Linked DNA regions of Danio rerio. The protein of the gene in region 2 purifies or fractionates together with the protein of the main gene of each other region. This does not show direct contact. Links are inferred from orthologs where the notes say so. Each region holds a gene or a part of one and is shown on either strand. Other genes may lie near its edges.

Region 1 (4,098 bases), on a different chromosome or scaffold from region 2:
GTAGGAAGTTTCCAGAACTATACATCAAATAATTAATATATTTCAAGATTTTTTAAACAAACTATTTCTCATGATTTTTTAATAATGATTATAAAGATTTTTATAACCATTCAAGATTTTTAAAATGAAATGCATCATTCACTTTTGTTCATATCTCTGACAGTTTTACCAATTAAAGTTAAGTATTAATAACTACAGAAAATTGGTTGCTCTACAATTTTTTGCCAAAATTTTGCCATGGCCTTTTTTTTTTTTTTTGGTTTTAACAAACTTATCCCTCAAGTTTTTCTAAACTTTTATAAAAACATTCCTCCTTTCCCACTGCTGTTGCTGTCACGTTACGTGGACATTGGAAAAATAAGACCTGTGCAAAAATATTTAACCTAGAACAGCAAATTTAAGACTTTTTAAGGCCTAAAAGTTCGATTTTTAAATTTGTAGACTTTTTAGGACCCCGCAGAAACCCTGCTGTATGGTGATGACACCCAAAGGTTATTTTTATATGATTATTTACTTTTTTAAGGAACTAAATTAATATATAATTCCTAAAAAACATTGGCACGGCACTGCCTTAAAATAGCCACAATCAGGGATGGGCTGGGTTGGGCTTTTGTCTACCTGAGATCGCTCTAAGATTTCAGTCAGTTGAATGAGTTTAGAGGAGTGATTGTGTGTGTGTGTGTGTGTGTGTGTGTGTATGTGTATATATATATATATATATATATATATATATATATATATATATATATATATATATATATATATATATATATATATATATATATATATATATATATATATATATATTTTTTTTTTTTTTTTTTTTTTTTTTTTTTTTTTGCATGTATGGTTATGACCGTGTACCAAGCTTAATTCTGGGAATGGGAACGTATTACAGTAAAAGGTAGCAGTTTTATTTTACCCAATAAATGCATTGATACTATCCTCTAATTTTAATACAGTCAATCAAATGAACTTAAACTATTAAGAAATGCAACAAATATTTGTTTGGGCCTGAGCTAGAAAATCAAATTTAAGTTTTTGTATCAGTTTTGCTTAAGTAGCGGACTAGTCTGATCATGTATAAATATCATTATAAATGTATTGTATAAACATTATTATAACTAGGTCTACATCATGCTGACATTCAAAAACAAAGTGACATGAAGAACTAACCACTGATCTTCTATATAGAAACAAAATATATCATCAGTGATGTTTTTTCTCATGTGTGATATTTGATACATGAACGAAGAATCCAGAACTCATGTAGACGGTCACTTGTTTCCCCCGGACGAATTTCCAATGCGCACCCATTCAGATACAACCGCCTTTCGCGAGAGAACATGGCAGCGCAGGTATGTTATAAATAACGTTTTATTTCTGCTTTCTTGACCTATTTGCTACCTGCTCAGGTTAAACACATAACACAAATGTATGCACCACTACTTTGTGCTGTATGTATGCCGTTGAAATGTTTTGTTAATGACAATAAATACGTTTCATATGTGAGTGAGCTCGCTTTTAGCACATGTGCGTCAATGTATTACAACAATAATTCCGAATACAGAAGTTTGGTATTTTGATGTGTGAATTTGTGAAAGTTGCTTTTATTGAGACATTTGGACTTTGGGAATCCTCAGAGAACTCTTATCCAACGTTAACGTGAACATGAAGCTTGTTTTATTGTTGTTCACCTAACGTTATCATGTCAACGTTTCTGTAATATGAAATTCATATAACATTACGTACATCGCTTTATTAGAGCATATGCCACGAATTACTGTATTAAAACTGTGCATCTTACGTTATATATTTGTGCTAAGTTAACGTTACATTGCTAATGTTGCCGTTCAGCTAACGTTAGTTCTTCTGCTGTGTTGAATGTGTCACTATGGCAACGCAAGCGCCTAACGTCTATTGAGCGGTCAAATTACATATAAATAACACTCACATACACAAAAACACAATAAAATATGTCTTTATAAATAACTTTTAAACGAATATTATATTTACCTGTTTGTTCACTAATGTAGGTGGCAACCACAAAGGTTCCGGAGGTGCGGGACATCACTCGCATTGAGAGAATCGGTAAGAAAACACCTAACGTTATCTATCCTAAAATAAGTTAAATAAAAAAATACAAAACAGCACTAATGCAATGAGAAGATATTTTATTTGCTATATACTAAATGGGGGCAACATGGTGGCTCAGTGGTTAGCACTGTTGCCTCACAGCAAGAAGGTCGCTAGTTCGAGTTCTGGCTGGACCAGTTGGCATTTCTGTGTGGAGTTTGCATGTAGACGTGGGTTTCCTCCGGGTGCTCCGGTTTCCCTCACAGTCCAAAGACATGAGCTATAGGTATATTGAATAAACTAAATTAGACATATAGTGTATGTGTGTGAATGAGTGCGTATGGATGTTTCTACCAGTTTGAGGCACGAAGGGCATCTGCTGTGTAAAACATATGCTGTATGAGTTGGCGGTTTATTCTGCTGTGGCGGCCTTTGATGAATAAAGGGACTAAGCCAAAGAAAAATGAATGAATGAATGAATGAATATACTAAATGGAAATACAAAATCAAGCAAAGTTGTTCCTGAAGTGACACACATCTTGGCTTTTCTCATAGGCGCACACTCTCACATTCGTGGCCTTGGGTTGGATGATGCTCTGGAGCCACGACAGGTAATCTTAGACTCTAATTGATTTACCAGTGGCTTAAATGTGAATCACAGTGTGTTTATAATAAACAATTCTAAATTATAAACCTTTCTCCTTCACTAGGTGTCTCAGGGGATGGTGGGCCAGCTGGCATCTCGAAGGGCAGCCGGGCTGATTCTTGAAATGATCAAAGATGGTCAGATTGCTGGTCGCGCAGTCCTTATCGCTGGCCAACCTGGGACGGGCAAGACAGCTATTGCTATGGGTGTGTTATTTTCATAATAATTATTATGAATAATTCAATTTAGAGTAAATAACTCATTTACAAAGTTAAACTAAGCTGTTGCACAGCATTTGTACTTTTTTTTTAAATCACTGTAGTTGTGTGTATCATTAATTTCTTAAATGTTATGTGTAAATGGTACAGATGCATAAAGGACTCATTAACAGGGTTCATATCGTCATGGAAAACCTGCAAAGTCATGGAATTTTCACATGACATTTTCCAGGCCTGAAAAAGTTTTGGAAAAACAAAAAACCCACAAAGTTTTGGAAAAGTCATGAAAAACAGATATCTGTGTACTGTACTGTGTACTCTCACATTATTAGTGCTGTGTAAGCATTTTCTAAATCAATTTTACATAGAAATAAAAATTAATTGAAACTTAAGTAGATTGCTGGGTATTTTACGATATGTTGTAAGAAATTGGAATATGCATTGTTTTTCTTTTACTACGCATATGTAGACATTGCATGAAACATTAGGTCATGAAAATTTACTTTAAAGCCTTGGAAAAATCATGTTAAATTTAATGAAATTTTAGTAGTAAAAATTTGTCTGAACTCTGCTTTAGCATTCAAAACAGTGAAAGCTTAATAAAGCTTTATATGTCATCCACATACGTTAGAATGTGTCCTATTTACTTAATTTTGCAAAAATTTGTTTAGTTTTTTTTCATATAATTTTTATGTTTTTATGCTAAATTATGGAATATTATGTTATTATTATAGATGGGCATAGATTAAATTTTTTTTAATCTCGATTAATTTTGGAATTAATCTAGATTAAAATGGCTCATTTGATTTCTGCCGAAGGCATTCAGAATATGCGTGCTACCCAAATATTAAGTCTTTGAGAACGAGTTTCTAAAGCCAGGTGGCACATTAGACCGGGGACTCATCTCCTGTTTCCAAAATGCATCACAAACTGCTTGAGAAACTGTTCTACTATGATAATTGGTGATGAAAATAAAGGATGTTCAATAAGACGTACTTGTGTTTACTAACTGTTTATTCAGTTAAACACGGATTTTGAACTGTAGGCCTACATAAGCTCGAAACAGCTAATTATTATTATTATTATTATTATTTTGATCACCTTAATCCGACTAAAGTCATAACTGAACTTAACAGAAATGGAATTAAGACGTGGAGT
Region 2 (3,154 bases):
AAAAAATGTCCTTGTGTGAACTCATGTTCTGAAATTACATAACACTACTTCCTTACTGTTTTTTAATGCATAAACCAATTTTTTTTAACATGTTTTGGATATTAGAGAGTAAAACATTTTCTGCCCATTTTGAAGTTAAAAATAGTGTTTGGGACATTTCATATGCTGCAAAACAGCTGCAGGATGACACTATGTAACAAAATATAAAACATTTAAAGTATTTTAAATAGCCACTTAAGAGCTAAAATGTGTTGTCCATGTATGTGGCAACTAAGCCCGCCTAGGAGGTTAATACCTCAAATGAAGTAACATTTATGAAGAAAAAAACAAAAACAAAACAAACAAAAACAAATTGCTTCTAGAATCTTTTTCTTGACCCTGAATTAAGTTATGGGGTGTTTGAATATTTTAATATACTTAATATTATGGCATGATGTAAATGTTTTGCATGTACACAGATTACAAGTTACTATCAGAAGTAAAAATCTCATTTAATATGATCTCAACCACCGTTTTCACCATGTGGAATAAAGAGGTGTATGTGGCTTAACATTTTTCACTTTAGAGCACCTTCAGATAATAAAGGGTTTTACCTTTTTGCTAGCGAAATTAAAAATGAGCTGATTTTCACCATAAATCTGATTTACTGGTGTCTTGGCTCAGCGATATCCAGATTCTGTCACTTCCTCTAATGTTAAAGAGATAACCAAAATAGCTGCTCTATCTCCTGCTCATTAGACCTAGAACAAGCTGATGGTCGGCTAAATTTATGCTGCGTTTTGGCAAATCTTCTTGACTTGGCTTGATCTTACTGGAACAAGGAAAGAGGAGGAACCAGAGAGGAATGTAAAACACACAAATAAAACACAAAGTACTTCATCCTACGATTTTGGCCAAGCGTTCTCATGGTCCACAGCTTCATCTCCACTAAAACCACGGTAAACCATATTTCTTCTTTTCAAGTGGATTTCAATACAGAAAGTTTTAGTAAATGGTCAATTAGTTGGCATGTTAATATCTTTCTATACTAATCAATGTACTAAGCATAATGATCTTACAACAAAAACAAAACTCAGTTTAAATGTAAAAAATAAATAAATAATAATAATAATTCAATGAGTCCACATGCTAGAAACATCCAGTATTTAATAAACCTGAGACAAAATGACCCAGTTTTACATCACAATGCTCACAGACGTCTTTAGTTTGACCCCGTTCTCACTTTTAACTAAAAACATTCATTGATAAAAGACAAACTGAACTGCATGATCTAGAAAAACTCAATCAAATATGGGATTTTACGGACTTTTCTCTCACAAATCAAAGCAATGTGTGGAGAAAACATCCTATAATTAAAAAATTAAATGCATATTTTTTTAAACAAATGACAACAGTCAAATGGAACTGTTTGAGAGGGGGATAATGTCCATATAATGTCCAAAAACACCATAAAAATGTCTTATATACAAAAAGTTCATGGAAAGAGTCCTGTTGGTTTATTCGTCTTCTTTTACCTTTTTCTTTTTTTTCTTCTTTTTTTCTGTCGTCTGTGAAAGAAAGGGGAATTTAGAGCTTCAAAATATAAATATGATATAATATAATTGTATTTGTAGCACGGTTCTTACCTCTTCTACCACAGTCTCTTCTGGCTCCTCTTTCAGCTCCACCTCAGCCGCTCGTTTCTTTTTCTTTTTTGACGGCTATAAAGCAAAAAGCAACTTGTTAAAATTCCACAAAACATACTTAAAGGATGTTAACCAAAGATTAAAAGTTCACTCTCTGCCAAGTTTAGGGTTTCATTAACACAAAAAGTACTTTAAAGAATGGTGTAACCACTGAAGTCCATAAAATAAACATAAAAAAACTCAGGATAAAAAAAAAAAAAAAAAAAACCCTTGGGTTTCTAACAAGGGTGAATAAATGACACTTCTCAGTTTTAGGTTAACTAACACTTTAACACAAACACAAACAATAAAATTGGAATAAAATCTGATCTAAAGACTAAAGCATGACCTTTAAAGCATGACCATGCAGGGTGTTACCAAGTCAAATTAAAGACTTTAAGACCTTTTCAAGGCTGTTATGATGAAATTTAACACTTAAAGGACTAAAAAAAAATTCTAATTGCACAATTGAGCAAACGGAAGTTTTACTTCATCAAAAATTTTATAATTTCTTAGCCACATCATAAAGTGTTAAAACTAGTAAACTCTAGTTATATACATGCCCTTATTTTAACAAATTTTTTTTTACTATAATTTATCAAATTTATGCAGAACAACGTCAAAGACAAGGAGAACTTTTAAACAAATATTATCGTTCGAAAGAATTGCATCTTATTGGCAAAATAGGGTTAAAACGTAACTTGTTAATGTTTTATTGAGAAAAACTGATTGGATGAGTCAGTAGCTTTACATTGACAGAGGAATATTAAGACCCAAATGATTTAAGACCTACGACACAATTTAAGATTTTTAAGGCCTAAAATTTTGTTTTTGAAACTTAAGACATTAAGACTACAAGACCATGTGGACACCACATGAACTAGACTCGAGCGAATGATCCCACATCTGGATAATAATGAGTCAGATGAATTTATGACTGACCTCCTCTCTGACCTCTTCTACCAGGCTGACAGCAGTCTCCTCCTCCTCCTGCTTGGGTTCCTCCTCAGCCCTCTTCTTTTTCTTCTTCTTCTTTGGAGTCTCTGTTTCAGCCTCTCCTGTGATAAAAATTCATTTAATCTTTATCTGAATGTAACGCGTGTCAGTATCTGCGGTGTTATGTCGTATGGATGTTCACCTTCCGCGGGGGCTTCCCTCTTCACTTTCTTGGCTTTAGCCTCTATGGGCTGGTCTTCCTCTTCGGCCTCCTCGACCTCTTCAATCTTCCTCTTCTTCGAGACGGTGGGGAGTGTTGAGTCACCAGAAGGGTCATATACCTTTACATCACTGATAGGAAGTGAAAAGATCATGTTCTGCATTAAAAACAGTAATTTATTGCTGTGATGGCAAAGCAGAATTTAAGCCATATTATTGCGATTTGTTGATTTTGTGCTCAAGAAACAAGGCGCTTTTGTGGAAACCTTAAAGAATTAGTTCACCCAAATATGAGAATTAGCCCCATCATTTACTCAAGCCATCCTCACTGCATA
Region 3 (4,008 bases), about 53 Mb from region 2:
GTATGAGAAGTGAAAAGGGTGTAGTAAACAAGACACACACACACACACACACACACATATGTATATATATATATGTATATGTATGTGGAGTCAAAAGTCATGTTTAATAGACCAAGAACATTTCCACAGTTTTTCCTACAGTCTAGTAGTTTTTATTCTGGAGAAAGTCTTGGGCTATTTATTTTAGTCTGGCTGGAGTAAAAGCAGTTTTTATAGACCTAATAAGCTTGTCAATATAATTAACCCCCTAAGAATTTATTTGTCAAACAAACATTTGTCATGAACCGTCACTCAAAAGCATCTTGCTATGGCTACTTCATTTATAATGAAGCCAAATTAGGTTTCTTGAGAGTTTTCTTGCTGTATAAGTTGTTTATTTTGTTATTCTTTTAACGTTTGTTGAATATACAGAATTATATTTTTAATACACTCTTTTAGTTAATGAGCTGTTCATCTTCTGTAATTCTGAAAATCTCTGTAAAAACAGTGATATTTCTATTGCATCCACTCCCACATTAAAAAATACTATAGTAATGTATACTGTAGTGCTTTTGAACCATGTTATAAAATAGCCTATTTAAATTTTATAGTTCTGGTATCACAACAACTATAAACACAACCCAATACTGAATAAACATGTTCAAAAATGCTATAATATTTGCTATAAATCACCATAGTATTTTTTCATGAGGTCATTCGTCTGCGATAAAAAACGCGTACGAGATCTCCGCCACTGGTGACGATTCCAGGTGGCTAAACAGCGAGATTCAGCAGGTGTCCGACTTCTGATGTAATTTTTGAGCCCTCCTCTTACTGCGCACGCCTGCTCTCGTTTACAAGGCGAGGTGCACCTCAAACGAGCCTATTTATTCATCAGGTATGACAACCAAAAGCTCTTGTTCTCTCCAGACTGGATTACTGCAACTCTCTACTAGCCAGGCTTCAGCTAACTCTATCAAACCTCTTCAGCTGTTCCAGAACGCAGCAGCACGAGTGGTCTTTAATGAACCTAAAAGAGCACATGTCACTCCGCTGCTCATCCGTTTGCACTGGCTGCCAGTTGCTGCTCGCATCAAATTCAAAGCTCTGATGTTTGCCTACAAAGTGACTTCTGGCTTTGCTGCTCCTTATCTGCTCTCACTTCTGCAGATGTATGTGTCCTCCAGAAACTTGCGTTCTGTGAATGAACGTCGCCTCGTGGTTCCATCCCAAAGAGGGAAGAAATCACTTTCCCGAACTCTCGCATTCAATCTGCCCAGTTGGTGGAATGAACTCCCTAACTGCATCAGAACAGCAGAGTCACTCGCTGTCTTCAAGAAACCACTAAAAACTCAACTATTTAGTCTCCACTTCCCTTCCTAATCTGCAATTGCCTCTCTGACTCCACCGCTAACTGTACTACAGAAAATATAAATAAATAAAAAATTGACTGATGTTTTGCTTCTTACAAACTTGCCGACAGCACTTCTTCATTGTTGTTCTTATAGTTGTGTGAATAAAGCGTCTGCTAAATGACTAAATGTAAATGTAAAATCCAACATCTGACAGACGTCACAGTGGCAACGTCCACACAACGACAAGCTGTGACATCATTAGACGTTGATATTTGGTTGGTTTTAGGTTGGACATTGACGTTGAGTTCTGACGTCAACCCGATTTTCATTTCCAAATAAAATGCACCGTCATAGCCCTATGACAGGGGTGTCCAAACTCAGTCCTAGAGGGCCGGTCTCCTGTAGAGTTGAGCTCTAACCCTAATCAAACACACCTGAAGCAGCTGATCAAGCTCTTACTAGGTATACTAGAAACTTTCTGGCAGGTGTGTTGAAGCAAGTTATGGCAAAACTCAGCAGGACACCGGCCCTCCAGGACTGAGTTTGGACACAGCTGCCCTATGTCCTCAGGGGACAACATCAATCTGACATCATGTTGGCTTCTTGTACCCGCTGGGTGTTTCATCATACAGTAAACATCCGCCGTCTTCTCATCACTGACATCCTCTAAACAGTGTCTGGGTCAGGTGTGTGAAGATTCTGCACATCTTCTTGGACACTTTTAATGCTGCATAACTGCTGCAAACTGTTTGGAATCGCACGTGTCTAGAGATAGTTCAGTATGATGGGTTTAGCTTCTCTGTGATCTGACTGGGCAGGAATCAGCACTGATCTCTCTGATCCCCATAGAGGAGAGTAAATACAGCAGTGATGCAGGATGAAGGACAGTAGTGGAGTAACAGCACTGATACTGCAGTTAACATGTGCTCAAGTAAATTAAGAGCACATTTTTAAAAACTACTTAGTAAAGTACAATATCGAGCAAAACTCCTCAATTACAGTAGTCTGAGTATTTGTAGTTAGTAACTCTACACCCCTGAGATTAACTGTGCTTATATATATACTGTCCAGCCAAACTATCCGGCTTTTTCCTGTGATGTGCGCCTGCTGTAAAGCTGCTTTTGAACTATAACTATTATGAAAGTTCTCCAGCAATGTGTACCTGCGCGGGGCTGCGCGGCTCTGTGTCCGCCTCTGGAGCTCCACACCCCGGGTTCCGGCTGGCTCCAGCTCCAGTCTCGGGCCGCCTGAAAGGCTCTGGAGCTCTGCTGAGGCTCCGCGCTGAAGTCCGGCGGGGGCAGGCGCTGCTGCTGCCCGCTCATGGCGACGGTTCTCCGGCTTAAACTTCACAGCGGTTCGATGGAGATTCACACACTCGTATAAACACAAACATGTGCTGCGGAAACATGCAGATAAAAACACGTGTGTGCGCTCTCTCACCGATACGTCACTTCCGACATGCGCTGAGCTCGTCTTGCTGGATGACGTAAAATATACAACTTGAATGCGACACGGTGGCGTCAAGAAGGTCGCTGGTTCGAACCCGGCTGGGTCAGTTGGTGTTTCTTTGTAGAGTTTGCATGTTCTCCCCGTGTTGGCGTGGGTTTCCTCCGGGTGCTCCGGTTTCCCAGTTTTGTGTTTCGGCTGGAAGGGCATCCGCTCCGTAAAACATAGGCTGGATAAGTTTTTGGTTCATTCCGCTGTGGCAATCCAAAAAAAAAATATATATATATTATATATATATATATATATATATATATATATATATATATATATATATATATATATATATATATATATATGAGCAAACACACCAACAATCAGCCTTTTTTACCCACTTTCATCTGTGAAATTAAAAAAATTCAGAGTCGTCCAATATAAACTCCAAAAATTGATCTATTTAAAACTACAAAAAATTATTGGGTTTCTATCTAAAATCTATATAATATTATTAATTGGAGAATTATTTTACTTTTTAATTATTTTTAAGCCTCTGTTCAGTTTTGTTCTCCAAACTTTCTTCTGTCCTTACTTTGTAACTATATTTTATCAATAAAATAAATAAATAAATTTATATATAAAAAATATATACATATATAAATATATAAATATATATATATATATATATATATATATATATATATATATATATATATATATATATATATATATATATATAACCATTAATGATGCTACTAATAAAAAAGCAATTAAAATAGTTGTGTGTGCTTTTATTTATATGTATTATTGTACACGCCTGACCACTGTGCTTTTCTATTTGTTTTACTCTGTTCTTTCAGCATCATTAAAGTAAAATGAAAAATATGACATGGAACAATAAGATAAGGGAATGAAAATTACACGTCATCTCTTAATAAAACATTCATATTTATTAAAGTGATGTATGGGATATTTTACTCCGCTCTGTTGAGTTTTAAAAAGTTAAAGCATTACACCTCAGCTGTGCATTATTCTCTGATAATCCGCTGTCAGCCGCAGGTGATGACTGCTCTCCTCTTCTCCTGCACCGCTGCTGAGATGTAGTATTAGTCAGGTGTGTGTCCTCCACATCTCCTCCTTCTGTTGTGATATCTGACTGTTGTAGCTGAGATATAACTAGATATGGAGCTGTAATGCGCTCTAAACCTGCCGGAACTACTTTAGCTGTGCCTTT

Evidence for each region. Proteins that work in one complex are often made in the same cells at the same time.
Region 1: the proteins of nop58 (region 2) and ruvbl2 purify together in Homo sapiens (affinity purification with mass spectrometry; 5 studies listed by BioGRID and IntAct, with this or other methods). This does not show direct contact. The link is inferred for Danio rerio from reciprocal best matches to the Homo sapiens genes NOP58 and RUVBL2.
Region 3: the proteins of nop58 (region 2) and nufip1 purify together in Homo sapiens (co-immunoprecipitation; 3 studies listed by BioGRID and IntAct, with this or other methods). This does not show direct contact. The link is inferred for Danio rerio from reciprocal best matches to the Homo sapiens genes NOP58 and NUFIP1.

What each region holds. Positions count from the first base shown.
Region 1 is NC_133180.1:31,375,410-31,379,507, forward strand, and holds the start of ruvbl2 (ruvB-like 2), read left to right. Parts: upstream 1-1,298; 5' UTR 1,299-1,346; coding exon 1,347-1,358; intron 1,359-2,036; coding exon 2,037-2,091; intron 2,092-2,631; coding exon 2,632-2,687; intron 2,688-2,786; coding exon 2,787-2,928; intron 2,929-4,098. UniProt on the Homo sapiens protein: Possesses single-stranded DNA-stimulated ATPase and ATP-dependent DNA helicase (5' to 3') activity; hexamerization is thought to be critical for ATP hydrolysis and adjacent subunits in the ring-like structure contribute to the ATPase activity.
Region 2 is NC_133181.1:10,590,262-10,593,415, forward strand, and holds the end of nop58 (nucleolar protein 58), read right to left. Parts: intron 2,952-3,154; coding exon 2,803-2,951; intron 2,723-2,802; coding exon 2,607-2,722; intron 1,701-2,606; coding exon 1,626-1,700; intron 1,548-1,625; coding exon 1,497-1,547; 3' UTR 698-1,496; downstream 1-697. UniProt on the Homo sapiens protein: Required for the biogenesis of box C/D snoRNAs such as U3, U8 and U14 snoRNAs. Part of the small subunit (SSU) processome, first precursor of the small eukaryotic ribosomal subunit.
Region 3 is NC_133181.1:63,100,446-63,104,453, reverse strand, and holds the start of nufip1 (FMR1-interacting protein NUFIP1), read right to left. Parts: upstream 2,801-4,008; 5' UTR 2,795-2,800; coding exon 2,775-2,794; intron 2,746-2,774; exon of another isoform or gene 2,679-2,745; coding exon 2,497-2,678; intron 1-2,496. UniProt on the Homo sapiens protein: Binds RNA.